Linked DNA regions of Oryctolagus cuniculus. The protein of the gene in region 7 interacts with the protein of the main gene of each other region in a pairwise test. Links are inferred from orthologs where the notes say so. Each region holds a gene or a part of one and is shown on either strand. Other genes may lie near its edges.

Region 1 (4,267 bases), on a different chromosome or scaffold from region 7:
CTCACACTGGTAGTCCTGAATCATGTTGTTTCCAGTTCACAGAGGTTAAAAGTCAGAGATAAAAACAAATCAACACGCAACAGAAAACAAACGCTTAGCCGTAGGGACACTTCTGCTCATCTGATATCCTGCTGCAAGTCCAGGCTTATTTCCTGTATTAGGTGTGGTCACTTTTCTTCAAGCTCGACCCTCCCAAAGAAGACCCTGAACTAGATACTGGCATCGCAAATGCCACATGCAAACATTCATTAAGTAAGTTTTGGAAACACAAAATTGACATTGTAATCTCTTCCTCGGTAAGCGCCACACACAGCAGTTGCTGCTGCTGGGGTGACACACTCTGGCGGCGGCAGGCAACAGCAGCACTGGCGGCTGCCTCTCCTCCTGGCGGCAGGCCTGCCTCCAGGGGCCTTACTTCGCACACCCACTCTCCCTAACCAGGAGCCGGCTTCCTGGGAAGCCGCAAAAGCAAAGCCGCAGAAGCAACACCTGGGTGAGTGGGCCCCCACGCTGTACCCGCCGGGCGTGAGTCCCAACTCCGCTTCTCGTGGCCTTCCTCTGTGCTGCTGCCCTGGGAAGCTCCTCTTCCTACGGCCCTCTGGCTGCCTGGTGGAAGCTCAGATTCAGCAGTCCAGAACCCTTGGTAAACTGATGATGAGCGCCCGTGCGGCCCCAATTTGCCACTGACTGCATACACACCTAATGCGATTTGAAATTAGACAACAGCGCGCAGCTGATGGCCAAAACCAAGTTTTGGAGTCCTGACTCGAAACCAAGGGTGGGAGAAGCGAGACTCCTAAATTAACATCTCCTTGAAAGATTCTCAAAGTAACGCTGCGCGCATGCTGTTCCCTCTCCGGGAGACGGCGGAGGACCCGGAGGAGGAGGATGGCGCGCCCGGGAGCCCGGCCTCACCCAGGGCGCGCGGCCCGCCCGCGGGCGCCGCCGCACCTGAAACTTCCAGGGGTCGCTACCTTCCCCCGCAGCTTCGGCGCGGCTCTCGGCGACGATCCATTGTTCCCCAGGCTCTAAAGCCCACGTCTGCCAACGGAGTTCCCGCCCGGTCCTGAAGAGACTGTCCACTGGCCCCAGCACTAGGCGTACCGAGGTAGGAGCCGGGCGCGAGGGCCCAGCGACTCCCCCCTCACCAGAGCCAGGACTGCACCCCTCTGCCCCTGCCCACCAGCGCCAGCCGGAGGCCGGCCCCCTCCCCAGACCCCGCTCGCAGCGCCCGACCCTACCTTGAAAGAGGAAGGCTTTGGTCCCATTGTGCAGCCCCGGGACCTGGCGCACTCCGGCCGTGGACTCCCCCAGTTCCAACTCCGTCAGGACATCAATCTGCAGCGAGGGATCCACACCAAGCCCCCACACTGCTGGAGTGGGGAAGGGGAGGGAAGAAGGAAAAGGCTGCATCAAGAGAGGAGCCGCACGCCCGGATGCAGGACTCGGAGCGGCTGCTCGCCGCCCAGCGCCTACCTGCGAGCAGCAGCCACGCCGGGAGCAGCCGAGCCCGCGGCCCCATCTCGCAGACCCAGCGCACAGCCCGCTCCGCGCAAAGTTCCCGGGCCGCAGACCCGGGCTAGGGCGCGACCCGCGTCGCCATCTCCAGGGCAGGCACCGAAAACGCGGACCTGCCCCGCCCCTGCTCCAAGCCCCCACCCGGAACCGAACCGGTCGGCGGCGGGGCCGGCACGCACCTGCTCCAAGAGCGCAGAGCCAACAGAGGGTCCTCAGCAAGCCCCGAGACTCCATGGCGCGGCTCCGCTCAGTCCATCGCCTCCCTCTGGAACAGAAAAGAAACGCCGAAGAGGTTCCCGGAATCCAGCGGGAAAAGCGTCGCCCCCCTGCTGCTGCCTCGCATCCACTGTTTAGCGGGATTAACACGATTGGGCCGCCTAAGAAAGGAAAGGGAGGCCCCCGGCGCGCGGAGAACTTGGACCCTCCAATGCGCACAGCCGCTCCCACGCAGCGCCACCGCCAGCGCCAGCGCCGGCGCCGGTTGGGAGGGGGGTGGGGAGGGGTCTCGGGAGGTCGGGCTTGCGGGCGAATTCGCTCCCCAGCCGGGTGAAAGCTGCCCAAAGCTCGCTGGGCGGCGAGGGATGCGCCCCAGAGAGCCGGGCGAGGGCGGCCTCACCGCGCGTCTTCGCCGCCGCGCGAACCTGCAGTAGAGGCAGAGACAATGGAGAGAGCGCGGAGCCCTGGACCCGACTCCCGGGGAGAGGAGGCGGGAGGCCAGGGGTGGGGAGGACAGCTGGGGGCCCGGCTGTGCATCCTCCCCAGCGCGGGCTCCTGGATTCCGAGCCGGCCCAGCGAGCCCAAAACCGCGGCAGCCTCCGCCCTCCGCCCCCCGCCCCCGCCGACCGGGCCACGCCAGGTCCTTTCCGATCGTAGATCGACACCCTAGGTGCCAAGTTGCCGGCCGGTCCTTGCTCTCACCCTCCGCTCCGGCTGCGCGTCATAAGCCATGCAGACAGGCCCGGCCACCAGCCGCAGGGGCGCGGCTAGAATGCGCGGTGCCCCCCCTCCCCGCCCCGGCCAGGGCGGGGAGTCCACCGCTCTTGCGTTCTGCTCCGGGGCGGCCCGGGCGCGGCACCTTCTCCGGGGAGAGCGCAGAAGCCCGAGGCGGTGAGACCCAGTAAAGAGAGAGCGAGGCGGGGGCCAGTGGCACCACTGGGAAGCCCGGCGAGCCTTCGCGGAGAGGCCCCCTGCCCAGGGCGGGGCGCTGGAGAGCTTCCCTGGTGCTGAGAGCAGAACTTAGCCAGGAACCGCTGGACAGCTCCCAGGCCGCGGACGCCGGGATCCGGCCTAGCTCTCGCTGAGCGGGATGAGCAGGGCGCCTACCCACACGGAAAAGGGCGAATAGCAGACTAGACATAGCTAGGACACATGGGTAGAAGGGTGGATGCGTAGAAAGGCAGGTGATAAATGAGTAGGCAGGTAGGAAGGGAGATACACAGATAATGAGTGGAAGATGGATAGATGATTTACAGGTAATTGATAAATGGTTAATAGATACATAGGTACGTGAAAGAAGATAGATTAGATGCACACAGATGATAGATAAATGATTGTAGATAGATGAGGAGCAGACTAGATCGATAATTGATAAGGATATAAATGAATGATAAATGATTGTAGATAGATGAAAAACAAATGAATGATAGATAAATGGATGATAGTTAAATCCAAGAAGATAAGCTAGACAGAACAGATAGATGAACAGATAAATCATATCAAATTTTCCATTTAATTCTATCTTTAATTTTGTAAACTTTGAGGAATACTACAGTACTTACATAGGATAAAATACTGTATAAAATTTCTCTGGTTTGCAAAACAACACCATGTAAAATTCACATAATTTAATTCAAAAGAAATTATTCACCAGGGAATTAAAGCTGGCTCTGGAACACTATATCCAAAATATTAAACTGAAGTGAGCATCTACATAAATTACATAAAATGAAGTTTAAATAATGCTATCAGGAGAAAATAAGAGAACGTACACAGACACGCAGATGCATATACATGTGAGAATGACTGTGCGTGTATTTCAGCACAGCAGAGTTGCAGCAACAACACTAACTCTCTCGCTCACAGCATGCTGAGAGCTGAGGGTTAGTCGGCCTGCCTCCAGCACCCACACACACTTATGCTCCCTCCAGAAGGATAGTATTTTTGTACCCAAAATTATTCCAGCTGAACCTGCCCCTATAATTCCTCATCCTAATTAAGTATGGAACAATTACAACATGGGTCCAGGGCAGAGGGAGCAGAGTGTGAAGTTTGGAAACCACAATGAAGCAAGTCACTGGCAGAGGCTTTCAGCCTGAGCTCTGACAATCTGGGGTTGCACAGCTGGTTGGAGCTGTCTTCGCCTTCTAGAATGAACAACAGCATTCTGGGTCGTGACCTAATGCATTCCACTACTGCCAGCCTTGCACGTTATCTATGTGTCATTGGACTCTCTTTGTGCAGCTTTTTATTAATTTTTTTATTTGAAAGCAAAGTAAAAGGAAGAGGGAGAAACCTAAGGAGAAAGAGATATTCCACCCACTGGTTCACCTCCCAATTCATGGAAACAGCTGGGGGTAGGCTAGGCTGAAGGCAAGAGCCTGGAACTCCATCCATGTCTCCTATATGGGAAGCAAAGGCCCAAGAACGTGGTCCATCTTCTGCTGATTTCCCAGATGCACAAGCAAGGAGCCACGCTGGGAAAGAGAGCAGCCAGGGACTCGAATCGTTGTTCCAGTATGGGATGCCGGCA
Region 2 (4,261 bases), on a different chromosome or scaffold from region 7:
GCTCCTGCCAAGAGGGAAATGCAGGTGTCTGAGTTGGAGTATGCGGCGTGGTGCTGGCGCAGCTGGAGTGAGACCACGCAGTGTCAGGTGGCCATGAAAGGTATCCCAGGTATTCCAGAAAGCGAGGAGCACGCCCACCCTCCTCGCTTCCCTTACAGGGTTCTTGGGGGGGGGGGACGGAATCTATCTATATATATTACACACACACACACACACACACACTCACACTCTATAAACACTGACAGCCTCATAGTGCAGACAGTGACTGGCAGAGCCGCTGAGCTGGGTGCGGCCTGACAAAGCAGTGCCCTCACCCCGTATCCACTGCGTGTCCTCATCCGAGAGCTTCCTGTGTGCTAAGCCAGGAACTGAGTATGCCAGCAGCCCAGTGGACACACACCCTGAGAACAGAGCGCCTGAGTGGCTCGGCCAGGGCCCCCCAGGCTGAGACTCAAAGCCAGGCCCCGGAACCCCCACTCCAGATTCCCGAGGGACCTCCTGGGTGCCAGCACTGGGCTGGCCAGGATGCCTGCTTGCCTTAACCGTGAGCTGCTGGCAGGAGGGGCGCTGTCATTCACACAGCCCGGCACTGGGCACACCCGGGGTCTTGGGCCAGCCGGGCCGTGCCCTCCATCACTGCCCAAAGGAGCCGGCTGGGCGCTTCTGGCCGACCGCACGGCCCTGCACGTGGGCCAGGACCCGGCAATGAACCCAGCACGACCCCTTCCCCCCACTGCCTGGCCCCTCCTCAGGAGCTCACCTGCCCCGGGCCGGCCGGGAGTGGACAGGGGACACAGGGACCCTCGGCTCTCCGGCCAGGACCCAGCCCTGAACCCAGCACGACCCCTTCCCCCCACTGCCTGGCCCCTCCTCAGGAGCCCACCCTGCTGGCTGGGAGTGGACAGGGGACACAGGCACCCTCGGCCGCAGCGCCCCGCCCTGGGCCCTCCGGCCAGGACCCTCTGGCAGCGGGGCTCCCCCGGGGTCCGCTCTGGCTGGGGAGGGGCGCAGGGGCTGCCTTTTTGAATCCTGTTTTGTTTCCGGGCACCACGACGCCGAGATTTCTTGTGAGAAACCCATCGGCAGTCGTCCGCCTCACGGACTGGACCACGCCGGAGGACAAAGGGCCGGGGCTGTGTTCCGGCAAAACCCGTGGCGAAGTGGACGGAAGCGCTCGTCCGCGCCACGCATCACAAAAAACCGCTCCCCTCGTCACGCGCGGAAGGGGCCCAGCGCGGGTCTCGCCGTCGACGACGAGCGGGCGCGAGGCCCGAGTGCTTCGCCGCGCCGGCCCCACGCTCGGCCGCTCCCGCGCCCCACGGGCCGAGGGCGGGGCCGCGCCGGCGGGGCCGCGCCGGCGGGAGCGCGCGGCCCACGGCGCGGCGCGGAGGGCGGCGGCCGAGAGCGCGCGCGCCGGCCCACGCCCGCGCTCCCGGGAAGTCTCGCGATGCGCGGCCGGCTGCTCCCGCTGCGGGCGGCTCGGGCTGTTGCTGTGGTTGCCTGAGTTGCGGCGGCGGCGCCGGTGGAGGTGGCGGCGGCCGGGCGGATGTTGACACTGTGTTGTTGTTGCTGCGGACGGTAATGGCGGCGGCGGCCCGGACCCCTTCCCGTGTGTAGCCGGCGCCGACACAGCCGGGCGCGAACTCCGCGGCCTCTGGGCCGGCGGCGGCGGCGGCGGCGGCGACTCCCCTCAGCCCCCACCGCCGGGCCGCCCGCAGCGGGCGCCGGCCCCGGAGTCAGGCCCCCCTGGGCGGGGGGCGCGGAAGCGCAGGATGGCGGATTTCGACGAGATCTACGAGGAGGAGGAGGACGAGGAGCGGGCCCTGGAGGAGCAGCTGCTCAAGTACTCGCCGGACCCGGTGGTGGTCCGCGGCTCCGGTCACGTCACCGTGTAAGGCCCGAGGGGGCGGCGCGGCCGGCCCGGGGCCCGGGGAGGGGCGCGCGACCAGGAAGTGAGGGCTGGCCGGGTGTGGGCCGGCCGAGGGCGAGGAGCGGGGCCGGGCGCTGCCCTCCGTGCCCGCAGGCCCCGCCGAGAGGCCTGGGCCAGGTGCGGGGTCCCCGCAGGCGAGGCTGTTCTCGGGGTCGGGGCGGGGGTGGGTGGGGGCCTGCGCCTCGGGGAGGAAGTGCGGGTGCCTGGGTGCCTGGGAGCCTGCGCGCCCGGTGACACGGCCGGAGGCCGGGTGCGGGCCCTGGGAGACCCCGGGGTCCGCGCTGCGCGTGTGCGTGTCGCACCCGCGCCCGGCCGGCGTCGTGTCGGATGTCGGAGTACCCAGCGAAGAGCAGCAGGATCGCGCGTGTTCGCGATGCACTTTGCAGGCATCTGCGCGGGGTCACCCGGTGCGGGCGAGCCGAGAGTTCCTGGCCCCCGGGGCGTGCACCCCGCGCCGGGGTCTGCGTTTGCTGAGTCCCGTGAGCGCTGCCGTCGACGCTGGAAGTCCGGAACGAGAGGGCTTTCCGAAAGGTCGTGGCTGATAAGGGAATGTGGAGCCTGGAACCGAATCCTGCGCCAGCCGGAAGCAGGAAGTCGGGAGTTTGGTGCAACTTGGAGCGGCCCGCTCTGTCGGGGAGGTCAGGGAGCGGCTGCCCCTGACCGGGGCGAGACGGCCCGCAGCAGCCTCCCTGTGTCCGGCTGGAAGGTGCGTGGGCCGTGCCCTGGAGGACTTAGGAGCCCGCGCTTCTCCACGCCTGAGCCCGCAGCCACGTTGCCGAGCGCCGGGCAGCTGAGTAAGGCGCTGGATCCTGGAGCACCTGGCGGGTTAGGTCCAGGTGACGCGGGTGGCGCTGTCCCCGCGGGTTTCACTGTCGTCACCCGCCCAGGTGGGGATGCCGTCGGATCTCGCCGAGGTGAAGCAGCAGCGGCCATCGCTGGCTGTCAGGCTCGGAACCTGTGGTCTAGTTTGACTCCTAGGGCCTTTCGCACTGTCCTGAACCCAAGAGTGTAGGAGTGCTGCGACAGGGATTCCCAGGCTGCCCACGCGTTCCTGCAGGTGTGTGGCACAGCAGGGTCTCCTGCCCGAGTGCAGGGGAGTCCCAGCTGCCTCCCCCCCCCCCCCCCCCCAGCTCCCAGCCTGGGAAAGCGGCAGAGGATGACCCACCCGCCTGGGAGACCTGGATAGACTTCCAGGTCCCTGGGCTCCGCCTCGCCCTCCTCCCGCCATTGAGGCCATTCAGGGAGTGAGCCAGTGGATGGAAGGTCTCTCTCTCTCTCTCTCTCTCTGCCTCTCTGCCTCTCAAATAAACAAACGTTTAAAAAGTCGGCAGGATTTTGTTTAGTAAGGTGCAGGTGTGGTTGTAATGTTTGTTCCCGTCTAAGGAGAAGGAAGGCTGAGCACCCCGTGGGCGAGCAGTGAACTTGACTGTAGTTGGCTGCTTAGTGAGGTTACAGGTAGAGAAGAACTGTCACTCAAGGTTTCCAACTCAGATGCCCTTAGAAGAAGCTGGGGAGCTTTGGAGACCTACTCAGGCCTTGGCCGCGGTTGAAGACCAGGTGTGTTAGGGTCCCAGCAGAACGCCACGCGCCGGTCTCAGGTGGGACCGCATTGAAAGCGCCGTTGTGGATGTCCGGCGCTCTGCCTCCGGTCGACACCACGCCTGTCTGCCCTGGACTGCGTGTCTGGGCTTTCCTCAGCCACCCCCCACCCCAGCCACCTTGGTTCCAGGCTCTGGGGGGTCTCTGCCCACCTCCCCCCACCTTTTTTTTTTTTAATTAGTGTATATAAATGTTTTTGTAGAAACTTGAATCTGTTCTTGTCTTTGTTTGAAAGGTAGAGACAATGATCTCCCATCTGCTAGTTCACTCCCCAGATGCCACCAATAGCCAGAGCCCGGCTGGGCTGAGCTGAAGCCAGGAGCTGGGGCCTCACTCTGAGGTTTGCTCATGGGTGGCAGGGACCCAGGTACCTGAGCCATCACCTGCCACCTCCCAGGGTGTGCGTTACCAGGGAGCTGGAACGGGCAGAACTGGCATTCGAACGCAGGCGCACTGGAGGGATGGCACGTGTCCCAGTGGGGTCCTAACTGCTGTGGGAAACACCCGCCCTGCCTCTGCTGCTGCTTGAGCCAGTTACCTCTGCCTCTTCCATCAGAGGGGGACGTCGCGGTCTCCCCTTTTAAAACGCTTCCTGGCATTTTTATTGTTTGAAAGGCAGAGCCAGAGAGCAGGCTGTCCGTCTTCCATCTGCTGTTTCTCTCCCCGGCGCCCACCATAACCAAGGATGGGCCAGACAGAAACGGGAGCTGGGGGCTCAGCCGGGGTCTCCCA
Region 3 (3,675 bases), on a different chromosome or scaffold from region 7:
ATGTGAATGGAAGGGGGGATGGAGAGGGAAAGGGGAGGGTTGCGGGTGGGAGGGAAGTTATGGAGGGGGGAGCCATTGCAATCCATAAGCTGTACTTTGGAAATTTATATTCATTAAATAAAAGTTAAAAAAAAAGAATATTTCTGATGCCAATGTTCTAAAGATTTGACAGAGATGTTAACAGAGATTTAATCTCCTGTGTGACACAACACTATGATGCCTGTGCAAAGTCCATTCTGTGGCCCTAAAATACGGATCAGTGATGGCTTCACAAGGACTGCCATTGTCTGGTGGCAGGTTTAGGTGATCTCTCTCTCCACTGCCACCCTTGCCTGGTTGTTCTATGGAAGCCCATTTCTGGAGCTTCCCTGGGGATGACCAATAGGTGGCGTGGGGTGACTGTTCCCCAAGCCCAGTTATGGAGCAGGGACCACCAGTACTTACACCGCAGGCTAAACTCCTGCCAATTTTGCAAGAGGTCTGAGTGAATGTGCAGGTGACACCCACTGCCTACCCAATGGCGCATACACTGTAGGTCTTGCTCATGCAGTAGCCCTTGGAGATGAGTTCGGCTGCTGAGTGATGGGCGTCCCTCCTGTGAAGGGTGGGGACTACCATGTCTCTAGGCCATGGGAGGCCATGTTACATAATGTTACATAATGTGGTCATTCTTAGTGTCAGTCATCCGAGAGGTCTTCAAAACCTCCATGGGAAATGGACATTATGAAAAAACTGCACAGATTTCAAATTTTTTTGCAGCAAAATAAACTTCAATCTTCTCATTTCTCTGTTTGAAGTCCCCTTGTACTTTTCCGTACTTCTGAGACATCATAATCTGCGTGTTGAAACTCACAATGGAATTTCAAAAACTTCATGGAAAATGGAATGAAAGATGTCTATTCTGTTGCAAAGTATTTTGAAATCCATGCATCGCTTTTTCATAATACATGTTTTATTTATTGATGCCTGGTCTGTGGCAGACCTTCACTTTCCTCCATTTAGATAACCCAATATTGCAGTATGGGCTGCAGATGGCAGCAGTGGCAACACCTGGACGCTTGTGAGAAACACAGTGGTATGTGTCAGGCCCCCCTGCAACCAGTGAAGCAGAGTCTGTGCTTTAACAACATCCCCGGGCACACGGGAGTGTTGAGAAGCCTTGGTTCAGATGTCAAGGAAGCCCAGAGTCTTTGAGAGTATCTCAGAGAATTGGGCAAGAGATGGGCTCAGCCACACAGGCTGGCCTGGGAGGTGCCTGTGATGAAGCTCAGGAGGAGGCAAGATACACCTCTGTCCAGTACTGAGTCACATATTCATCTCTTGCTTCCATGGGGCTTAATAAAGTATCCTACAAGCATATTTGAAAGGCACGTGACGCTTGTCCATGTTGGGTTGAGGGTGTCATTCCCATGAGGCCCACTGGTGGCAGTTGTAGAGATCTGTGAGACACCCCACTCTCTAGCCCCACCCCCGCTCTGCAAACAAGGATAGATCTCAGGAGATAAGAACTGGCATTCCGTTGGTGATTATTCTTCCAATAAGATTATTAGATTTTTCAATATTGGAATATCCAGTATTCTTCTAATAAGAATAATCAATAACAACAATGATAGTTTCTTTAGGAAAGGCAGCCAATTTGAAATACCCAAGTTCATGGGCAAAGGGGCCTGCATTCCTGATTCCCATTTCTGTGCCCTGTAACAGACCATCCCTCAGGTAATACCACCTTCTGCCAGCCGTCGCCTTAAACTACTCTGGTTCCCAACAGGAGTTCTCTGTCAGTAGAGAAACTGCCTGGGAGTGGGGGTCAGGCTCTCAGTTTTATTTCCGGCCATGCTTTAAATATACCTTGACTCTTTGGTTTAAGCCAACCTTGGGTTATTTAAGATTTCAGAACTCAATCCTTTTGAACAGGCTGACCCCCAAAGACACGAGAGAAGCAGGTCTGAGTAGCCAGAACCCAGAGGTCAAACAACCTCCCCTGCTTACCCACCTCCACTCTGGACCCCACAACCTCCCACCTTCCCCACAGGGCCCAGAGCCTTTTTTTTTTTTTTTTTTTTTTTTTTACCTTAGCGGCTCTTGGATACACCAGAGTCTGGTAGATAACAATTGGGCCTGGGGTTTTCACAGAGGTGTCGTTGAACGAGTACCAGTTGTGGAAGCTGTTGCAGTTCTGTGCAGGCTGGCTGTCGGCTGTGGCACTCCAGTAGGTGTACAGCCCATCGGGGGGCTTGGCAGGCGCGGCCGACTGGGTCCTCCCGTAGGCCTCCAGACCCCCCTTGGCCTTCTCACCAGCGGCGCTGAAGGACAGCAAGGAGGAGCTCCGCTGGTATATCTGTTGGTTGCCGAAGCTGTGGGTGCTGAACGTGACCTTCCTGGCGATCATCATCTCCGAGTGCATGGGGTAGGGGGTGGGCAGTGAGTCTCCGGAGGAACACACCTTCTTGGGTCCCGTGGGGAAGAGCTCGTGAATGGCGCTGGAGAGCTCGGCGAAGTCCAAGGGCATGCAGTGCATGGAGTGCAGCCGCAGGTGTGGGTCGGGCCGGTAGGTGCTCTGGATGCCGTCCTCGATCTGGTCCACCAGGATCTTGGCCGACTGTAAGAAGGCCACTTGGCCCGTCTCCTTCAGGGCTTCCTTGGAGTAGGCTATCAGGCCATCCATCTCGTTCACCTTCAGGGTGGTGACGTGGACGTACTTCTCGATCTCCTTCTGCCTGGACACTTCTAGATTCTCGATCTGCTCCATGATGCTCTTCTCTTTCTCCTGCAGAATGCTGCGCAGCTTCAGAAACCCGCTTCTGATCTCTTTCCGCTTTGCCTCCTTATCCGCTTTAAAACTGTTTTTCAGAATGTTGAACTCCATGAGGTCATTATCGATTTCATATCGGACTGCAAAACAACCAAGTTGCTTACTGTTAGAAGCTTCCTCTCCCCAGATGCCAAAGCCACAGCAAACCCTTAAACGGCACTGGCCTCCGAGGGAGTGAGTGGACGGAGGGCAGGCACCCCCAGCTGGGCTGAACGTGGCCTCCCTCAGAACGCCCCTCCCTCTCACCTCCCCCAGGTGTCAGGAGCCGTCCTCCCTGACCTAGCCCCAGCTGGTGAAGGCAATCCCTCTGGTTCCTGCCACACTTGCCCTGTCTGCAGGCTGGACTTGAGAAGAGGCAAAGTCATCTAGGCCAGGGCCCTGTTTTTCCTGCAGGAAGGTGGGCTTTTGCAGTGGTGGAAGACAGAAGTACATTACTGATGACCCCTTCTACATGCTGCCTTGCCTCATTCACCCAGAATCCAGCCTCAGACAGCAGTGGGAAATCGGCAAAGTGTTCCCTCATGGGGGCCCTCTTGCACACCCGTGGTCCTGCATAGCAGCCTTTGTCTCTCTCGTGGTCAGCGCTGTTCCCTCTCCTGTCTTTTCGCCTCTCCCTTTCAAGAAAGCGTCTGCAGTCACACTCCACGGGGAACCAATCCATCCTGCACCCTGTCCCATGGCACTTCAATTTTAAGTTCACACAGTTAGTCATTCAGCAAACATTCCCCAGAGCCGTGCTGCACACCGCAGGCCTTTCCGGGCACTAGGAATACAGACATGAGTATGAAGTGTACTTATGCTCAAGGCACTCACAAACCCAACCATACGATGGCTGGAGGGTGCTGTTGCAGGGTGAGCCTGTG
Region 4 (3,675 bases), on a different chromosome or scaffold from region 7:
CCCTTGCATGTGCACACACCTCTTTAGGAGACAAAATGGAAATGTAGTCTTCATATATTATCCTTGCTTTCTCTTCAATAATGTTTTTATTCGTTTCTTTTTTCAGTTCTTCACAGGCCAGCCAGAAAAGCATGTTTTCCTCACTGAATTCTGTGCGGAGGAACTCCCGGAAGGCGTTTCTGCCTGCTGGGGTGACCATCAAGTTGTCGAAGGACTGAGCCCAGGCATTGACTTCCTCCAGCGTAGGACTCGGGCTTGAAGGGGACCAAAAGAAAGGAGGCACAAGAGACCTATTATTGGTAGTGAACCTGAGCTGCATCACCAGAAATCTACCTTCCCCTCCCTCTCTGATAATGAAAAATATGTGAACTTGACCCTTTTGGAAGGGAAGGGAAAGAGCTATTCTCATTTCCTCAAACTTTTGGCCAAACCATACAAGTTCACATCTTCAAACTGTTTAGCTTGGCTGCATGGTGACTGCCCAAATGCTTACAAACCAGTTGTTAGAATAACTGCTAAGAACATATTTCTTACATCTGGACACATTCTGGCAATAATTTCAAATTACAATAGTAAAGAAAAAAACATCCCAACCATCAGACCCCAAACTCCCTAGTCACCTACAACAGAACTCAGACAGATTTAGCAATGCTCAACATGGAGAACAACAATGGAACAGTGTCTTTCTTTTTTTTTTTTTTTTTTTTCTTTTTTCTGACAGGCAGAGTGGACAGTGAGAGAGAGACAGAGAGAGAAAGGTCTTCCTTTTGCCATTGGTTCACCCTCTAATGGCCGCCGCACCGCGCTGTTCCGATGGCAGGAGCCAGGTGCTTATCCTGGTCTCCCATGGGGTGCAGGGCCCAAGCACCTGGGCCATCCTCCACTGCACTCCCTGGCCACAGAGAGAGTTGGCCTGGAAGAGGGGCAACCGGGACTAGAACCCAGTGTGCCGGTGCCGCAAGGCAGAGGATTAGCCTAGTGAGCCGCGGCGCCGGCTGGAACAGTGTCTTTTTAACACATTTTTAAAATTTATGTAATATTTGAGAAAGAGGAATGAATGTTTGTAATATAAATGCAAATAATGAAGGGTGACAAAGTGAACACTTGTGAATGTACCAATTTACCTTAAGAACCAAGACATCACTGACATAGCTGCTATTTCTCCATGCAACCTGTCGCCCCATGACCTGCCCCAACTCTATTACACTTGATCTGGGGGCTAAACCTTTTTGAGTTAATAATGATCCTTAATATCTCTTTCCTTTGTCCCCCCCCCCCCATAGTTTTCATATGTATGTGTCCTGAGGGATGTACTCCTTAGGTTTTTTTTTTTAACTATATAAAAATGGTGTATGTTGTCCTTTTTGCGACTTGGTTATTCTTTACCCAACATTATGTTTCTAAGTGTTGTTGGATTCACCTAGGTCATGGGTGAGTAGGATTCACCTCTAACTTTACATTCTTGAACTATCCTCATCAAGTTGTAGTTCCACTGTTAAACTGTCCTCTTAGATTTCTGAGTAGTTATATGGGAGCTGAATACCCATATTATCTACTCTTTTTTTTTTTTTTTTAAGATTTACTTATTTGAAAGACAGAGTTATGGAGAGAGGTAGAGACAGAGAGAGAGGTCTTCCTTCTGTTGATTCACTCCCAGACAGTCTCAATGGCCGGAGCTGCACCGATCCGAAGTCAGGAGCCAGGAGCTTCTTCAAGGTCTCCCATGTGGGTGCAGGGTCCCAAGGACTTGGGCCATCTTCCACTGTTGTCCCAGGCCATAGCAGAGAGCTGGATCTGAAGAGGAGCAGCTGGGACTCGAACTGGCACCCATATGGGATGCCAGCGCTTCAGGCCAGGGTGTTAACCCACTGTGCCACATCGCCAGCCCCATATTATCTACTCTTGAAGTGTTTTGTAGATGGGGCCAGCGCTGTGGTGTAATGGGCTAAAACCTCTGCCTATGGTGCTGGCATCCAATATGGGCACTGGTTCTATCCCAGCTGCTCCTTTTCTGGTTCAGCACTTTACTATGGCCTGGGAAAGCAGTAGAAGATGGCCTAAGTACGTGGGCCCATGCACCTGCATGGGAGACCTGGAAGAAGCTCCTGGCTTCTGATTGGCCCAGCTCTGGCTGTTGTGGCCATTTGGGGAGTGAAGCACTGGTAGAAGACCTTTCTGTCTGTCTTTAACTCTACCTCTCAAATAAATAAATACAATCTTTAAAAAAAAAGAAATTTTTTGTAAAATTTGCCTATAAAACCATCTGGGTCCAGTTTTGAATCTATAGAAAGATTTTGTTTTTAAAGATTTATTCATTTGTTTTGAAAGTCAGAGACACCAACCAGTGCCCATATGGGATGCCCGCACAGCAGGAGGCAGCTTTACCTGCTATGCCACAATGCCAGCCTCTGTAGAAAAATTCTGTGGGTTGAACTGTGTCTCTCCAAAACATATGTTGAAATTCTAACTCCTAGTACCTCAGGACATGACATTTGTAGATTTAACTACATTAAGATGAGGTCACTGGGGCTAGCACTGTGGCGTAGCGGGTAAAGCCGCTGCCTGCAGTGCCAGAATCCCATAGGGGCGCCAGTTTGAGTCCCAGATGTTCCACTTCCGATCCAATTCTCTGCTAGGCCCGGGAAAGCAGTAGAAGATAGCCCAAGTCCTTGGGCCCCTGCACGCACATGGGAGACTCAGAAGAAGCTCCTGGCTCCTGGCTTCGGATCAGTGCAGCTCTGGCCATTATGGCCAGCTGGGGAGTGAACTAGCAGATGGAAGACCTCTCTCTCTCTGCCTCTCCTTCTCTCTGACTTTCAAATAAATAAATAAATCTTGTTTTTTTGTTTGTTTTGTTTTGTTTTGTTTTGTTTTCTTCAGATGAGGTCATTAGGGTGAGACTTCATCCAGTATGACTGGTATTTTCATAAAAAAGGGAAACTTGAACACAGATACAGACACTTGTAGGGAAAATAAGCAGACACAAAGAGAGGATAGCCACGTGACTGGAGTGAAGTCTACAGGCCAGAGAATCCAAGAGCTGCTGGCAACTACCAGAAGCTAGAAGAGGCCTGGAGGGATTCTCCCCTAGAGTTGTCAAAGTATAGAGAAAGTGTGGCCCTACTGACCCGTTGCTTTTGGACTGCTGTTCTCAGAAACTGTGAAATAATAAACTGTTGTATGCTACCCAGGTTTTGGTATTTTGTTATGGAAGTCCAGGCAAACTGAAATCGAATGTTATTCATTGTTGATACAGCTTGATAGTCATACAACTAGTTTGACCTTTGATTTATTCTTGCATGAGTTTTATTATTTTCTCCCTGTTTAAGAATTCGCTCAAAGTGTAGTGTCTAAATCACCATGTTCATTGGCATAATCTGTTCCCAGTGTTATCATCCTACTAATTTCTGCTGGGTAGTTATTATATTTCCATTTTAATTCCTAATATTATTTCATTATATTTCTTTTTTTGGCCACTCATAGCAAAGGAGGCCCTACTATAAATTATTATAAATTTGTTTTAAAGAATCAGCTTTTGCCTTGGTCATTTCCATTGTATCTGTTTTTTATTTCATTAATTTCTGTGTTTATATATTTCTACCTCCTTCCTACTTTCTTTGTGCATATTCTTAATTTGGACATTTAGTTCAGAAATGACTGGTCCTCCTTTTTGTC
Region 5 (4,383 bases), on a different chromosome or scaffold from region 7:
CCCTCTCGCTGAGTGCAAGGTGTCCAAGGCTCAGCCCCCTGGCAGCCTGTGTCGGGCTGGGTTCCTGCTCACGCCTGGACAACCCTCCACGTGGGGGTGTGCTACCCACTGGTTGACTGACCCTGGTGGGGTTGCTGCTACATTCCAGCGCTCTGAAGCCCGCAGCGCGGTGCTGCTATGAGCAGACTTTCGGTGAGTAGCTGTCGCCCGTCCAGTCTCTGGGGAGGGGCGGGTGTGTACCTTTCGCCCGTCCGGTCTCCCGGGGCGGGTGTGTACCTGTCGCCCGTCTAGTCTCCCGGGCGCATACCTGGGAGCGAACCTGCCTGGTAACATCTGGGGACACAGCCGGATGATGTTAGCAGCTGCAGCCTAGGAGGGCTGCGAGTTCTCCGCACCCTCGCCAACACTCGTGAACGCTTGGTTTTCAAGAATTCGGACTTCGGGCTTTCTTGCCCCAGCCCCTGGGCAGGTGGTAGGAATGCATCAGCCTGAGCCCCACCGGGTCAGTTGGGGGCGATCGGGGGGTCAAGCAGGGATGGGGAAGGGACGGGAAGACCCGACTGTTCCCTCTCGCAGCCTGCGGGGTGCCGGGAGCCCTGCACACGCGGCCCTTTCCCGTCTGGCCCAGCCCTGAGACGTGGGCAGCGCGAAGCCCCGCCCCTTCCTGGGAGTCGAACCCTCCCGGGCTCCGCCCCGGCCACGCCCTCCGCTGGGGGAGGGGTCGGAAGCCGAGTGGGGGGCGCGGGCGAGAGGAGGGTCGCGAAGGCGTTGGCACCGGAGCCTGGCGTCCCTGGCCCCCGAGTGCACCCTGTCCCTGCTTCGCGGGGGCCTGCCATTCATTTGGGGCCAAAAGGGACCTGCGCCCCCGCCCCCGACCTCGGCTTGGAGGGCTGAGCGCGGGGGCGGGGGAGGCCGTGCAGGAGCGCAGGGACCACCTGGCGGGAGATGGCGGGGCGGGGGGGGGGGTAGAAGGGAGAGATGGGCAGCTCTGCTCCCGGGACCCGGGAGCGTCTCGTGCCGGGGCGAGGGTCGGGGGCCCGGGGTGAAGTTTTGGGGACGTCTGGAGTGACGGTCTGGGGGCACAGAATACAATTCTGGGGGGGTCGAGTGAGGGGATGGAGGCCCCAGGGCTGGGTGGGGCCTCGGATCCTACCTTCGGGGAGGCTCAGAATGAGGGTCTGGGGGTGCGGGACTGAGCAGTGGGTGCGCAGAAAGGAATTCTGCGCGCGTAGGTAGCAGCCAGGTGCGCGGGATGACGTTTCTGATGAGGGCCTGCCCCCCCCCCCGAGTGAGTCTGGGGGCTTGGCATCCAGGTCCATGGCACCACGATCGAGCGCTGGGGGACCCTGGCCCGGCGCCGGGAGGCGGCTCCGGGAGGCGCCGCGGGGGACCGGGCGGGGGCCTGCGGCCGCCGGCCGGGGGCGGAGAAGCGGGGGGTCGGGGTCCCTCCCCCTGGCGCGGGCTCAGGAATCCGCCGAAGGGCGGGCGGAGGCGCCGGGGTGGGCCGCACCGCGGCGGGCGGGCGGGCGGGGGGCGCTTCCTGGGGCCGCGCGTCCAGGGAGCTGCGCCGTCCGCCCGTCCGTCCGCCCGCAGGCACTGTTGGAGCCGCCGGAGCCGCGGGGGCGTCGCGGCCGAGTGAGTGGCGGCCCGTGGGAGGGGGGCGCGGGCCGGAGTCTCGGCAGAGTCGGCGGCCGCCGGGCCGAGAGGCCCGCACCGCCAGGGAACCGGGCGGGGGCGGAGTGGGCCCGGAACCCGGGCCTACGAAACGAGTGGGCCCCGGGTCCTGCGGGGCTGCAGGGCCCCAGGCTCGGACCTGAGCCGGAGCTGGCGGGGCCGGGGCCCGGTGCGGGGGGATGGGGCGGCCGTGGCAGAGGCCCCTGACCCGCCCGCCCCCTCCCGGCCGCAGGATGCTCCCCTTCGCCTCCTGCCTCCCTGGGTCTCTGCTGCTCTGGGCGCTGCTGCTGCTGCTCTTGGGGGCAGCGTCACCGCAGGACTCCGAGGAACCGGACAGCTACACGGTGGGGACAGCGGGGGCGGGTGGCCTACCACTGGGAGACCAGGGTCCCCGGAGGCTGTTCTTGGGGGAGATTCGCCCCCCCAGCCCGGCCGGTAGAGCAGCTGGGGGCCGTTGTTTGGAACAGACTGGGAGGGTGGCCCAGGCTCAGGCCCTGCTATTGGCCTGGCCAGTTGGAGGGGACCCTGGGTGACCACTGCAGCCTCCGGTTTCCTTCCAGGAATGCACCGATGGCTATGAGTGGGACCCAGACAGCCAGCACTGCCGGGGTGAGTGTGACAGGGGGACCAGCCCCCCAGGAGCAGGGACCAGAGCCCAGGGGGCCTGTGCTCTACCCAGCCCAGCAGGGCAGGGCGGCCCCTCCCTCTCCAAGAACCCCGGTAACCCTGTCCCCCCCCCCCGGGGTAGATGGGAGAGCCACTGGGGGAGCCCCGGAGCAGCTGGTCCCATGGAAGGCTTTGCCCCATCGCAACCTGGGAGGGCGGTGTCCACGGGGGGGGGGGGGGCTGCAGATCACTGCCCGGCTGAGCCAGGGCCAGGACCCCCTTGGAGGCAGCGTGGGGGCAGCAGTGGCAACCCCTTCCCCACTTCCAGCCTGTGGCGGGGCCGTGTGGAGGGGAGGGGTCCTGGGTACACCAGGCTGCCTCAGCTTGTGGAGCTCAGGGAGGGCCAAGCGGGCTCCTGCCTCGCCCCCCCCGCCCCGCCCGGGGCCGGCCCCCCTCCCGGGACCGGCTGTGCCGAGCAGGCCGCCTCCCGCAGATGTGAATGAGTGCCTGACCATCCCCGAGGCCTGCAAGGGCGAGATGAAGTGCATCAATCACTACGGGGGCTACCTGTGTCTGCCGCGCTCCGCTTCCGTCATCAACGACCTGCACGGCGAGGGCCCCCCGCCGCCTGTGCCCCCCGCTCAGCACCCCAACTCCTGCCCGCCAGGCTATGAGCCCGACGAACAGGAGAGCTGCGTGGGTGAGTCCCTCTGGGCCCGGGCGTCCCATGCTGTCGCCACGCTTCTCGCAACTTGGGCTCGCGTTCTTGCGTTGCTCCAAGCCCTTACTGATGGCTCCTGGGGGCCACCAGGGGCTGCCCGGCCCCTCATCCAGGCCCTCGCTGTGTCCGGGGCCAGTCCCAGGGGACCCTCCCCTCACGTGCTGCAGAGACCCTGCAGGAGCCTTGATCTGGACTGCACCCCTGGAAGCCGCGGGCCCTGGCGGGGGGTGTCCTGGGATCAGGGTCGCTGGGGGCTGAGGGTGTGGACAGAGCCTTGTCTCCTGCTGCCTCCCAGGCTGGTGGGCGGGTGGGAGGGGTCTCCTGTGCCCTCGTGGTGGCTTCTGGACTGCGTCCTCCCACGCTGGGTGCCTGCCTCGCCGGATGGCGTGAGCGACCCCAGGCGGAGGCTCAGGGGTGTCTGCTGCAGATGTGGACGAGTGTGCGCAGGCCTTGCACGACTGTCGGCCCAGCCAGGACTGCCACAACCTGCCTGGCTCGTACGAGTGCACCTGCCCGGATGGCTACCGCAAGATCGGGCCGGAGTGTGTGGGTGAGTGCGGCCAGCAGCCTGTCTGTTCCTGAGCCCCCAACTCCAGCCCACCCCCGGGCGTCACCCCAGCCCCCGGCCCCCTCTGCCTTCCTGCCATCAGACACAGAGGACTGCATGGACACCGTGTGTGTGCGCATGCGCATGTGTGTGTGTGTGTGTGCCTGTGCGTGCGTGCGTCCTCTGGCTGGCTGGCCCCGTCCAGCTGCCCAGAGACATCCGGGTCTGTGGGCAGTGAGGCCTCGAGTGGGGGCCCCACTGACTGGCGCCTTCCGCGGCCTCCCTCCCCGCCGCCGTCGCAGACGTTGACGAGTGCCGCTACCGCTACTGCCAGCACCGCTGTGTGAACCTGCCCGGCTCTTTCCGCTGCCAGTGCGAACCGGGCTTCCAGCTGGGGCCCAACAACCGCTCCTGTGTGGGTGAGGCTGGGCCAGGCCGGGCTCCTGGGGCCCCCGGGGCTGGGAGGTATGAGCTGGGGGAGCGCCCTTGGCGGCCAGCCCAGACTGCCCCTCTGCTTTTGTCCCGGCACCCCCAGATGTGAACGAGTGCGACATGGGCGCCCCGTGTGAGCAGCGCTGCTTCAACTCCTACGGGACCTTCCTGTGTCGCTGCCACCAGGGCTACGAGCTGCACCGCGACGGCTTCTCCTGCAGCGGTGAGCTCAGCCCTGCGCGGGCTCCCCCAGCGGCGGCCAGGGTGCCCCCACGTCCCGTCCACTGTGGACGGACGCGCGCCCCTGCAGGGTGCTGCACCCCGGGCTGGCCACAGGGCACTCCCAGCCTGGGACGGAGGACAGAGAGGCTCAGGAGTGCTGGAACGGGGGTCAGGCCGCACA
Region 6 (4,312 bases), on a different chromosome or scaffold from region 7:
ATTTGAAAGTCAGAGTTACCTGAGTTACCTAGAGAGGGAAGGAGAGGCAGAGAGAGAGAGAGGTTTTCCATTGGTTGGTTCACTCCTCAGTGGCTGCATTGGCCAGACGTGTGCCAATCTGAAGCCAGGAGCTTCCTCTGGGTCGTCCCAGGCAGATGCAGGGGCTCAAGAACTTCAGCCATCCTCCCCTGCTTTCCCAGGCCATAGCAGAGAGCTGGATTGGAAGTTGAGAAGCTGGGTCTTGAACTGGCACCCATATAAGATGCAGGCACTGCAGGCAGCGGCCTTACCCACTATGCCACAGTGCTGCGTCCCTCAGGTTGCCTTTAGACATGCCTATAAGCAATTGTTTTCCTGTCTTTGAAGATGGCTTATTCAGAACTCTTGTCTAGGTGTCTATTGGTGTTCTCATATATTTTTCTTATTTGTGTGTTAATTTTTAAAGTAAACAAGGAAAGGAAATGCTTAGTGTGAAAGAAAACAGAGATCACTTTGTCTAAATCAGAAGGGCTGGAAATGCATCTGCCAAGGGATCAGGACTGCCGTGGTATTCATAATGTATTGCTACTATGCCTACACTTTCCAACTTGTACAATTCCTTTAGAAGGGTCAAGTTTGTATGTGAAGATTACCCAGGTTTCCATGGGTTGTTTCCGTTTGTTGCCATTGTTACAGGAGTCCAAGTTTCCTAAGATGAAGGGCGTTGAGAGAAAAGATGGGAGTACAGGGAGAACTTTTTGAGACATTAATTGAGATATCTCATCACAGTTGCATCTATTAATTATGAAACTGTGAAATTAATATTATATCCTACCTCAAATTTTAATGCATATGTGACATCAAATATTTAAAATATAAGAATTTTGTGTTTGCAATGCTTCACATGATTCAGTGGTCTTTTAAGCTCCTGATTTTGACTTTTTAAACTCTATAACATTTGACAAATTTGGTTTCCAAGCTTAATTAACTTGGAAAACCTATGAAGTCCCTTAGGTATGAAACTACCTAGCGAGTGTAAAATTTTATAATCATTGGAGGTTCCAGTTTCTTAAATATGGTACTATTTCAGGTATTCAGATTCAATGAATGCAGAACTTACAGTGAGTGGGAAGTCCCTATAGGAAGATCAGTAAGCTGTGGTGGAAAATAATATCTCATTTCAAAGACAACGGGATTTGAAAAGTTACTCTGCTATTTACTAGATATATAGGATTTCTCAAGAAAACTAAATATTTCATAATAGGAATTCTAACATGAGCAATGAACATCTGAAATCTCTCTGTCTTACACCTTGTAGGTGAAGTTTTCTTTTAAATCTTTGTGTCAATAGATGTAATTTTATTATAGACAATGAGTATGGGTTCACAAAGCAAATATTTACTTCCTTATATTGGGTCACATGGCCTTTTCATAGTACTGCTGATTGGTTATTGAATATACTGGTTAGAATTTAAGAGCTGTAGCATTGCAGTAAAACAGACACAACCCAAGGGGAATCATGACATACATGAAATGAGCAGGTAAGTGTTGACTTTGTTCTGCAGTGCTTCTCATTGGGAGTTACATTAGGAAAAATTCTTTTCTGAAAGCTGACAATACTTTATTTTCAATCTTGAACGTTTGGGGCTTATTTTGGGCAGTGATCTACTTTGGAGATTTTAAGAATCAGTTTTGTCTCTAAGAAGACCACTCCATGTCTCCTTTTTTCTCTCGATGGTTTTATGTTTTCAGGATTCAGTTAACCAAAATCAACAAATATTTGCCAGTCTGCTATGTGAGAAGCTGCAGTCCACAGGATTAATTAGACAATGTGAAAAAGCGTGTGGATAATTGCCCTTCAAAGAAAGAGACTTTTAAAGCAAAGAATGTAATTTGGTAGACAGAGATCAAGTTTTGGATTAAAATAACCAAAGGTTTTCTTCAATTCTTTGACCATTGGTCTCATTACCTTTAAAACCCAAAAGTGTTTAAGAATGAAATGAAGTTGTTTATAAAAATCCTTCATATATTGACAGTAACTATGCATGTTTTTGACACTATGTTGAGCTAAATAAAATAAATATAATAAACATTGTTTAGAGAATAAATACTTGAGATTTTAGTTAATTGCTGGTGTTTGTCTTAATGAATGGGTCCTTATTAATGTTGAAGTTGCTGTCCATGTGTTCTGTGTTATCCTTTCCTGAGTAGACGAAGAAACCAGTTAAATGAACATTCGTGAATGAATGTTTTTGAGTACCTGCTCTGTGTTAGGCTCTATGGTATGACTTTTGAATGCAATGGTCAATTAAACATGAACCCTTTCTATAAGGAGTTCACATATAAGCTTCTTCAACATATTATTACTTTGCTTTTATCTAGTTATGCTAACCTTAGAAGTCATAATTAAATACAACATTTCTCTAGGGTTTAGCAATTTAGGGGAATTAACCTCAAAATTTAGGAGCCTCTACCTCTCAAGTGCAAGCAGGCTGCAAAGCAGAGGCTCAGAGAAAGAAGGCAACAGGCAGTGGATCTGCTGGTGAGAGACTTAACAACCTCCATTAGAACATCAAAACAGCTAAAGACTGGAGGCTTAGGACTTTTGGGAAGTTACAAATTGGGAGAACCACACTTCACTGTCATTAATGTAAAGGGAATGTCTGCGTGCAACTGTACTGTGCTTTTCCTCTCACTTAAAGGCTTCCGTGGGTGGTGATCATAATATGAGTCAAGGCAGATGAAAATGGTGGTGGTAGGGCATGTGCAATGGAGACAGAAGAAGTCACAGCCATGCCCTTCCTTAGGGTTCATGTTTTGCTTCTGTGCTACTATCTTTCATAGTAATCTTGTGATAATACACTACACTGGCCAAAAGGCCTGGATACTCTTTTCAGATATATACATATATCTGATATATATATATATATATATACACACACACATATATATATAAAAAACTTGATTTTGGAAAGATGAACTCATCTTCAACATCAGCTTGTTGAAATCACTAGGGTGAATTCTAAACCCAGCAACTAGGTTTACTCTAATCCAGGAAGATTTAGTATCATTCATAGAATCTGAGTAAAGTCATCAAATCCTCCCTAACAATATGTTATGAATGTACATTTATGTTGCCTGTCTATGGTGATGAAAGACGTTGACATCAGGAATGAATTATCTTGAAGGTGTGCTAAACCCACATGTAAGCCACTAAATTTAACATGCTTGTCATTACACCTTTGACTGGGCTGTTAATGAATAACCATGTGAGCCACTTTGAGGTTTGAACCTGTTTCTTTTTCAATTTATTTCCTCTCAGCTCTACCGTATGGCATTTGTGACCTGTATGTTTAGTATGACCAAGACTTACCAGATAAAAACAAAGAAAAATGAGTGTCTCTTTTGAGGGTACTATGCTATGCAACACTATTTAAAAAATAATACAGTGATTTACATAATCTACAAACTGGTGTGACTGACTGAATGCTATATTGTGAAGTGTAGTAGTCAATACTCCACATGAATTGCAGTGTTAACATTTTTCCTAACTAGTGTTAGAATGAAGCTTGATATTTGATCTCCCTTTTTATTTTATCAACAGTATCAATAGAATTTGTAAATAGATATGTGAGAAGAAAGGAGTATAGATAGTTCTCATACAAAAATTGGTGTTTGTCATTATATTTATCTTAGAATATGTACATTTCTCCATAATTTATAATATATCATGAACTCATGTTCAATCTGTCAGGAAAAAAAAATCTCTGCTGTTTTATTCTCTTCTGGTAGTCATGGATTAACTGCCTTGCTTGTCATATCTGTGCTAGTTTATGAATAAATAATGTCTGTAATCTTGATTCAAGCCATTAGAGCCATGTTTTCTTCATCTGCTAATGTACAATAACGTCAGTTTTCACTGTTGAAATCTTTTTGATGAAATTACTTTTAAGTAATCTCCGGGTCTAATGACTCACCTGTATTTATATTAATTATGGATTTAGTTGAAAGTTATGCATGTATTACTTTTAAACCCCAAAGATAGAGAAGTCCTTTATACACTGCAGAGTTTAATATTTTGAAAAGATGATCTGTGTGGAACTGTATGCACGTATTTGTGTGTGATTCCTGTCTGTATTCATGGGGTGAGAGTGGGGAACTGCTGGCCTGCCTGCATAATCATTGGCAAATATTCAGGAGAAAAGGATGCGTACTGCTGAACACAGGTGGAGGTGTCAGTGAGACAAGAAAGTCAAGTAACAAGTAGGAAGGCTGCACTCAGAATACAAAATGATTAGCTGAAAGCTCATTATACCTTAAGATATAATACATG
Region 7 (3,370 bases):
GAGGCTACCCTGGGAGGCATCCGATTGGGTTGGAAGTATCCCATCACCTATAACCACATATAAAATTGTACCAGTTGTGAGAGTTTGCCCACCCTGTCTGTTTTAGTCATCTAATCTAAAACATTTCTAGAAAATCTGTATAAAGATAAATCTCTCAGGACAAAGTATTTACAACCAGCAAACTCACACACAGGAAACTGAATTAAATTAAGGAATGAATGAACTGTGTAAACACACTCCTAGTGCACCTCTTCTTCATAGACTCCTGAACTCTCTCTATATATCCTACTTTTAAGGGCAAGGTAGGGAAGAACTGTGAATACGCAGTTAGATAAAAAGAAGCGAGGCCTCTCTCTGGCATGTTTCTGCTGGCAAAAGGGAATTATTTTCCAAAGGGCAACTGAAAGGAGCAAGGTCTGTGAAGACCTCCTCCAAGTAGGGAGAGATGTCAGCAGCCCACACGAACTGATGTGGGCACCCAATCTGGATGTCTCCCGTCCAGAATTCCCTGGAAACCCATTGTCCTGGCCAGGAGCTCTCCAGATAGGATCAGAAAGGAAGAGAGGGACTGTAAATGGAAAGCGAGATAAGCTAAGAATGTGCTTTAGGGGAAAAGCCCTGGTCCAAGAAGGAGGCTGGGCTGCGGGGGCCGGGGCGGCCTCAGTGAGAGGTAGGCAGAGTGTCGGAGGTAGAAGACCCCGGGGAAGGAACGCAGGGCGAGGAACTGGACTTCTCGGAGGATTCCTCTGCCTTCTCTTCGCTTCCCGGGGGAGTGGCTGGAGAGATGGGCAGGAGCCCCTCCTTCTCACGTTTCTTCTGCTTCATCCGGCGGTTCTGGAACCAGATCTTCACCTGGGTCTCATTGAGCTGCAGGGACGCGGCGATCTCCACCCTGCGCGCGCGCGTCAGGTACTTGTTGAAGTGGAACTCCTTCTCCAGCTCCGTGAGCTGCTTGGTGGTGAAGTTGGTGCGCACCGAGTTGGGCTGACCCACGTAGCCGTACTCGCCAACTTTCCCTGGGGTAGCGTAAGGAGCCAAGAGAAGAAAAGGTTAAAAAATGTTAAAAATCGATGAGACCCCCTCCCCCCCCCCACACTCTTCAGAGCAACCTTCAGGTAAAGGATAAAATCAAGAACTTCTCAAGCGGGTTGGGGAGGGTGAGCAATGGGGCATTAAGCTGAAGTCAAGCATTAGCGTGGTCAGGCTGGTGATTAATGGAGCCTGGAGATATTAACAGGACGCCTCCAACACCAACACCCAGCCACACACACACACACACACACACACTCTCTTCCTATTTTCAGAACATTTAGACCCTAGCCCCTTTGTAAACACAGAGACTGCTGAGCCCCGACACACCTGGGCAGCGTCCCCATGCCCTACAACACTAGTTGGAAGCAAGAACCCCTTTTTCGAAAAATCATTCTTAATTTTCCTTGGGAACCAAGCACACCAACTCCTTCCAGATTCATCAAGGCGCGTCCACTGGCCGGCAGAACTGACCTGTTTTGGGAGGGTTTCTTTTGACTTTCATCCAGTCAAAGGTCTGTGCTGGAGAAGACGTTTCCAAAGCGGGGGAGCGACAGGCTTCTTGGTGGCTGGCGTGGAGAGGGGACAGGGGATTATTATACGTGGCCAGGGCCAGGCTCTGGTGCTCTTGTCCGTATGAGTGGTGAATGTACTGAGGCGAGCCCACCGTGCCCCCGGCATAACCCTGGTGGTGGTGGTGATGCTGAACCATGGGAGATGAGAGGTTTCCAGAGTAAACAGCGGGAGCGCACGGGGGGTACCCACCACTTACGTCTGCTTCCTGATTTAACCCGTAGGGACTGTAAGGCGCACCGAAGTTCTGCGCACCGTAGCTTGGACCACAACTCGAGTGGGAGTAAGACACCCCCAGGTTCCCAGAAGTCTGGTAAGTGGCCGGCTGAGGATGGTGGTGGTGATGGTGGTGGTGGTGGTGGTGGTGGGGCGAGCTGATCTGCACCCCCCTACCCACTAGGAACCGGTCGTCGCCGCCGCAGCTGTTGGCACTGACTGCGCACGACTGGAAAGTTGTAATCCCATGGTCCGAGGAGTAGGTTCGCGCAGAGCAGGTCCCCGAGTCGCCACTGCTAAGGATGGGGTATTCCAGGAAAGAGCTCATCCTTGCATTGTCCATCTGTCACTGAGTGACCGGGTCCTGCGAAGCCCTGGGTGACCGTGCCAACTTTCTCACTTCCTCCATGAGGCCGAAGAAGAAAAATGATATGAATGTACAGTGCGCAAGAGGGGGGGCGCGAGGGCGGAGGGCGCCAGGGGAGGCGCACGTGACTGGGCCAGCCAATGGCTGAGCCTCCTGCGAAAGTTTGCCGGCTCCGGCGGTGATGGATCACCGTTTCAGTGGCATTTAAGTCCCCGGCGCTCCTCCGTCTAGGTGACGCGCAGTCGCCCCCCCAGGCAGCTCAGGAGGCGGCAGAAGCTGCGGCGGCTGCAACTGCAGCTTCACAGCCCTGGGGCGAAGGGGAGCGGAGGCTGCCTTCTGCGCGCGCCCGAGTCCGCGCGCCCTCCCCCTCCGGGAGGTGGGGGCTGGGAGGCACCCCCGCCCCCCGCCCCCTCCCAGCATCGTCGGGAAGAGGAACTGGCAAGAGGTGAGAAGGGAAGAGGGCTCCCGGCTCTCCTGGGGCGGGAATCAGTGGGCTGGAGCTCGCTGGGTGGCCGCAAGTGCGGCAGAGCCCCCGAGCGTACAGAGCCGGAAGGGTGGGAATCCGGCGACCAAACGCCCCCGGCGCCCGGGGCGCCTCCGCCGCACTGTCCCTGCGTGAGGCCGTAGGGCTGTGAGGCGCTCAGAAGACGGTGACGCAGGGCGAGGCTGGCCGCTGGCTTTGCCAGCTCCGGACGGCGAAGGAAGGGCGCGGAGGGCTGGCTGGGAGGAACCAGGTGGGCGTGGAGCGCACGAGGGCGAGAAAAGAAACTTCCCTTTTCCACAGAGGGAGTCCGCAGCCCTCTCCCCCCAACCCCGGTTCGCCATTAGCATGGCAATGAGGAGCTCCTGTAATTCGACTCCCGGGGGCGGTTGAGCTCGCCGGAAAAGGCCGGGGGTGTCGGGGCTCTCGGTCGCCCTCCCTCTCCCCTCGCTCTCCGCCCCTTTCTCCTCCCCGCTTAGTCTGGCCCAGGGAACCCTCCGGGATCCCCAGACGCTGGGCCGCAGGATTTTGAGGGGTGGGAGGCGGGGGAGAGATGACGCTGGCAGACGTGGCGGGCGCGGGGGCCGGGCCGTGCGCGGCAGGCCATCTGCCGGCGCCTCAACCCAGGAGCCTGCGCGCTTCGGCGCGGGCCTCCAACGCCCGGCCGCAGCTTGCACAAAGTCCGCTCCACGGCCCCCGCCACG

What was found.
Region 1: the proteins of HOXA1 (region 7) and NELL2 interact in binary tests that used the Homo sapiens proteins (3 or more experiments, as listed by UniProt). The link is inferred for Oryctolagus cuniculus from reciprocal best matches to the Homo sapiens genes HOXA1 and NELL2.
Region 2: the proteins of HOXA1 (region 7) and CHIC2 interact in binary tests that used the Homo sapiens proteins (3 or more experiments, as listed by UniProt). The two-hybrid records come from large-scale screens. The link is inferred for Oryctolagus cuniculus from reciprocal best matches to the Homo sapiens genes HOXA1 and CHIC2.
Region 3: the proteins of HOXA1 (region 7) and TRIM42 interact in binary tests that used the Homo sapiens proteins (3 or more experiments, as listed by UniProt). The two-hybrid records come from large-scale screens. The link is inferred for Oryctolagus cuniculus from reciprocal best matches to the Homo sapiens genes HOXA1 and TRIM42.
Region 4: the proteins of HOXA1 (region 7) and RGS20 interact in binary tests that used the Homo sapiens proteins (3 or more experiments, as listed by UniProt). The two-hybrid records come from large-scale screens. The link is inferred for Oryctolagus cuniculus from reciprocal best matches to the Homo sapiens genes HOXA1 and RGS20.
Region 5: the proteins of HOXA1 (region 7) and EFEMP2 interact in a two-hybrid assay, tested with the Homo sapiens proteins (2 studies listed by BioGRID and IntAct). The link is inferred for Oryctolagus cuniculus from reciprocal best matches to the Homo sapiens genes HOXA1 and EFEMP2.
Region 6: the proteins of HOXA1 (region 7) and RGS17 interact in binary tests that used the Homo sapiens proteins (3 or more experiments, as listed by UniProt). The two-hybrid records come from large-scale screens. The link is inferred for Oryctolagus cuniculus from reciprocal best matches to the Homo sapiens genes HOXA1 and RGS17.

What each region holds. Positions count from the first base shown.
Region 1 is NC_091440.1:135,861,188-135,865,454, forward strand, and holds the start of NELL2 (protein kinase C-binding protein NELL2), read right to left. Parts: upstream 2,802-4,267; 5' UTR 2,460-2,801; coding exon 2,437-2,459; intron 2,274-2,436; exon of another isoform or gene 2,160-2,273; intron 2,154-2,159; exon of another isoform or gene 2,135-2,153; intron 2,119-2,134; exon of another isoform or gene 1,784-2,118; coding exon 1,698-1,783; intron 1,374-1,697; coding exon 1,242-1,373; intron 1-1,241. UniProt on the Homo sapiens protein: Plays multiple roles in neural tissues, regulates neuronal proliferation, survival, differentiation, polarization, as well as axon guidance and synaptic functions.
Region 2 is NC_091439.1:110,032,795-110,037,055, forward strand, and holds the start of CHIC2 (cysteine-rich hydrophobic domain-containing protein 2), read left to right. Parts: upstream 1-1,455; 5' UTR 1,456-1,546; coding exon of another isoform or gene 1,547-1,578; 5' UTR 1,579-1,772; coding exon 1,773-1,891; intron 1,892-4,261.
Region 3 is NC_091435.1:141,098,040-141,101,714, forward strand, and holds part of TRIM42 (tripartite motif-containing protein 42), read right to left. Parts: intron 2,893-3,675; coding exon 2,072-2,892; intron 1-2,071.
Region 4 is NC_091437.1:78,796,889-78,800,563, reverse strand, and holds part of RGS20 (regulator of G-protein signaling 20), read right to left. Parts: intron 255-3,675; coding exon 20-254; intron 1-19. UniProt on the Homo sapiens protein: Inhibits signal transduction by increasing the GTPase activity of G protein alpha subunits thereby driving them into their inactive GDP-bound form.
Region 5 is NC_091432.1:5,896,429-5,900,811, forward strand, and holds the start of EFEMP2 (EGF-containing fibulin-like extracellular matrix protein 2), read left to right. Parts: upstream 1-1,463; 5' UTR 1,464-1,635; intron 1,636-1,906; 5' UTR 1,907-1,907; coding exon 1,908-2,018; intron 2,019-2,234; coding exon 2,235-2,283; intron 2,284-2,773; coding exon 2,774-2,980; intron 2,981-3,428; coding exon 3,429-3,551; intron 3,552-3,850; coding exon 3,851-3,967; intron 3,968-4,083; coding exon 4,084-4,203; intron 4,204-4,383. UniProt on the Homo sapiens protein: Plays a crucial role in elastic fiber formation in tissue, and in the formation of ultrastructural connections between elastic laminae and smooth muscle cells in the aorta, therefore participates in terminal differentiation and maturation of smooth muscle cell (SMC) and in the mechanical properties and wall integrity maintenance of the aorta.
Region 6 is NC_091436.1:14,661,940-14,666,251, forward strand, and holds the start of RGS17 (regulator of G-protein signaling 17), read left to right. Parts: upstream 1-1,345; 5' UTR 1,346-1,512; coding exon 1,513-1,520; intron 1,521-4,312. UniProt on the Homo sapiens protein: Regulates G protein-coupled receptor signaling cascades, including signaling via muscarinic acetylcholine receptor CHRM2 and dopamine receptor DRD2.
Region 7 is NC_091447.1:18,724,146-18,727,515, forward strand, and holds HOXA1 (homeobox protein Hox-A1), read right to left. Parts: upstream 2,162-3,370; coding exon 1,504-2,161; intron 1,017-1,503; coding exon 661-1,016; downstream 1-660. UniProt on the Homo sapiens protein: Sequence-specific transcription factor. Regulates multiple developmental processes including brainstem, inner and outer ear, abducens nerve and cardiovascular development and morphogenesis as well as cognition and behavior.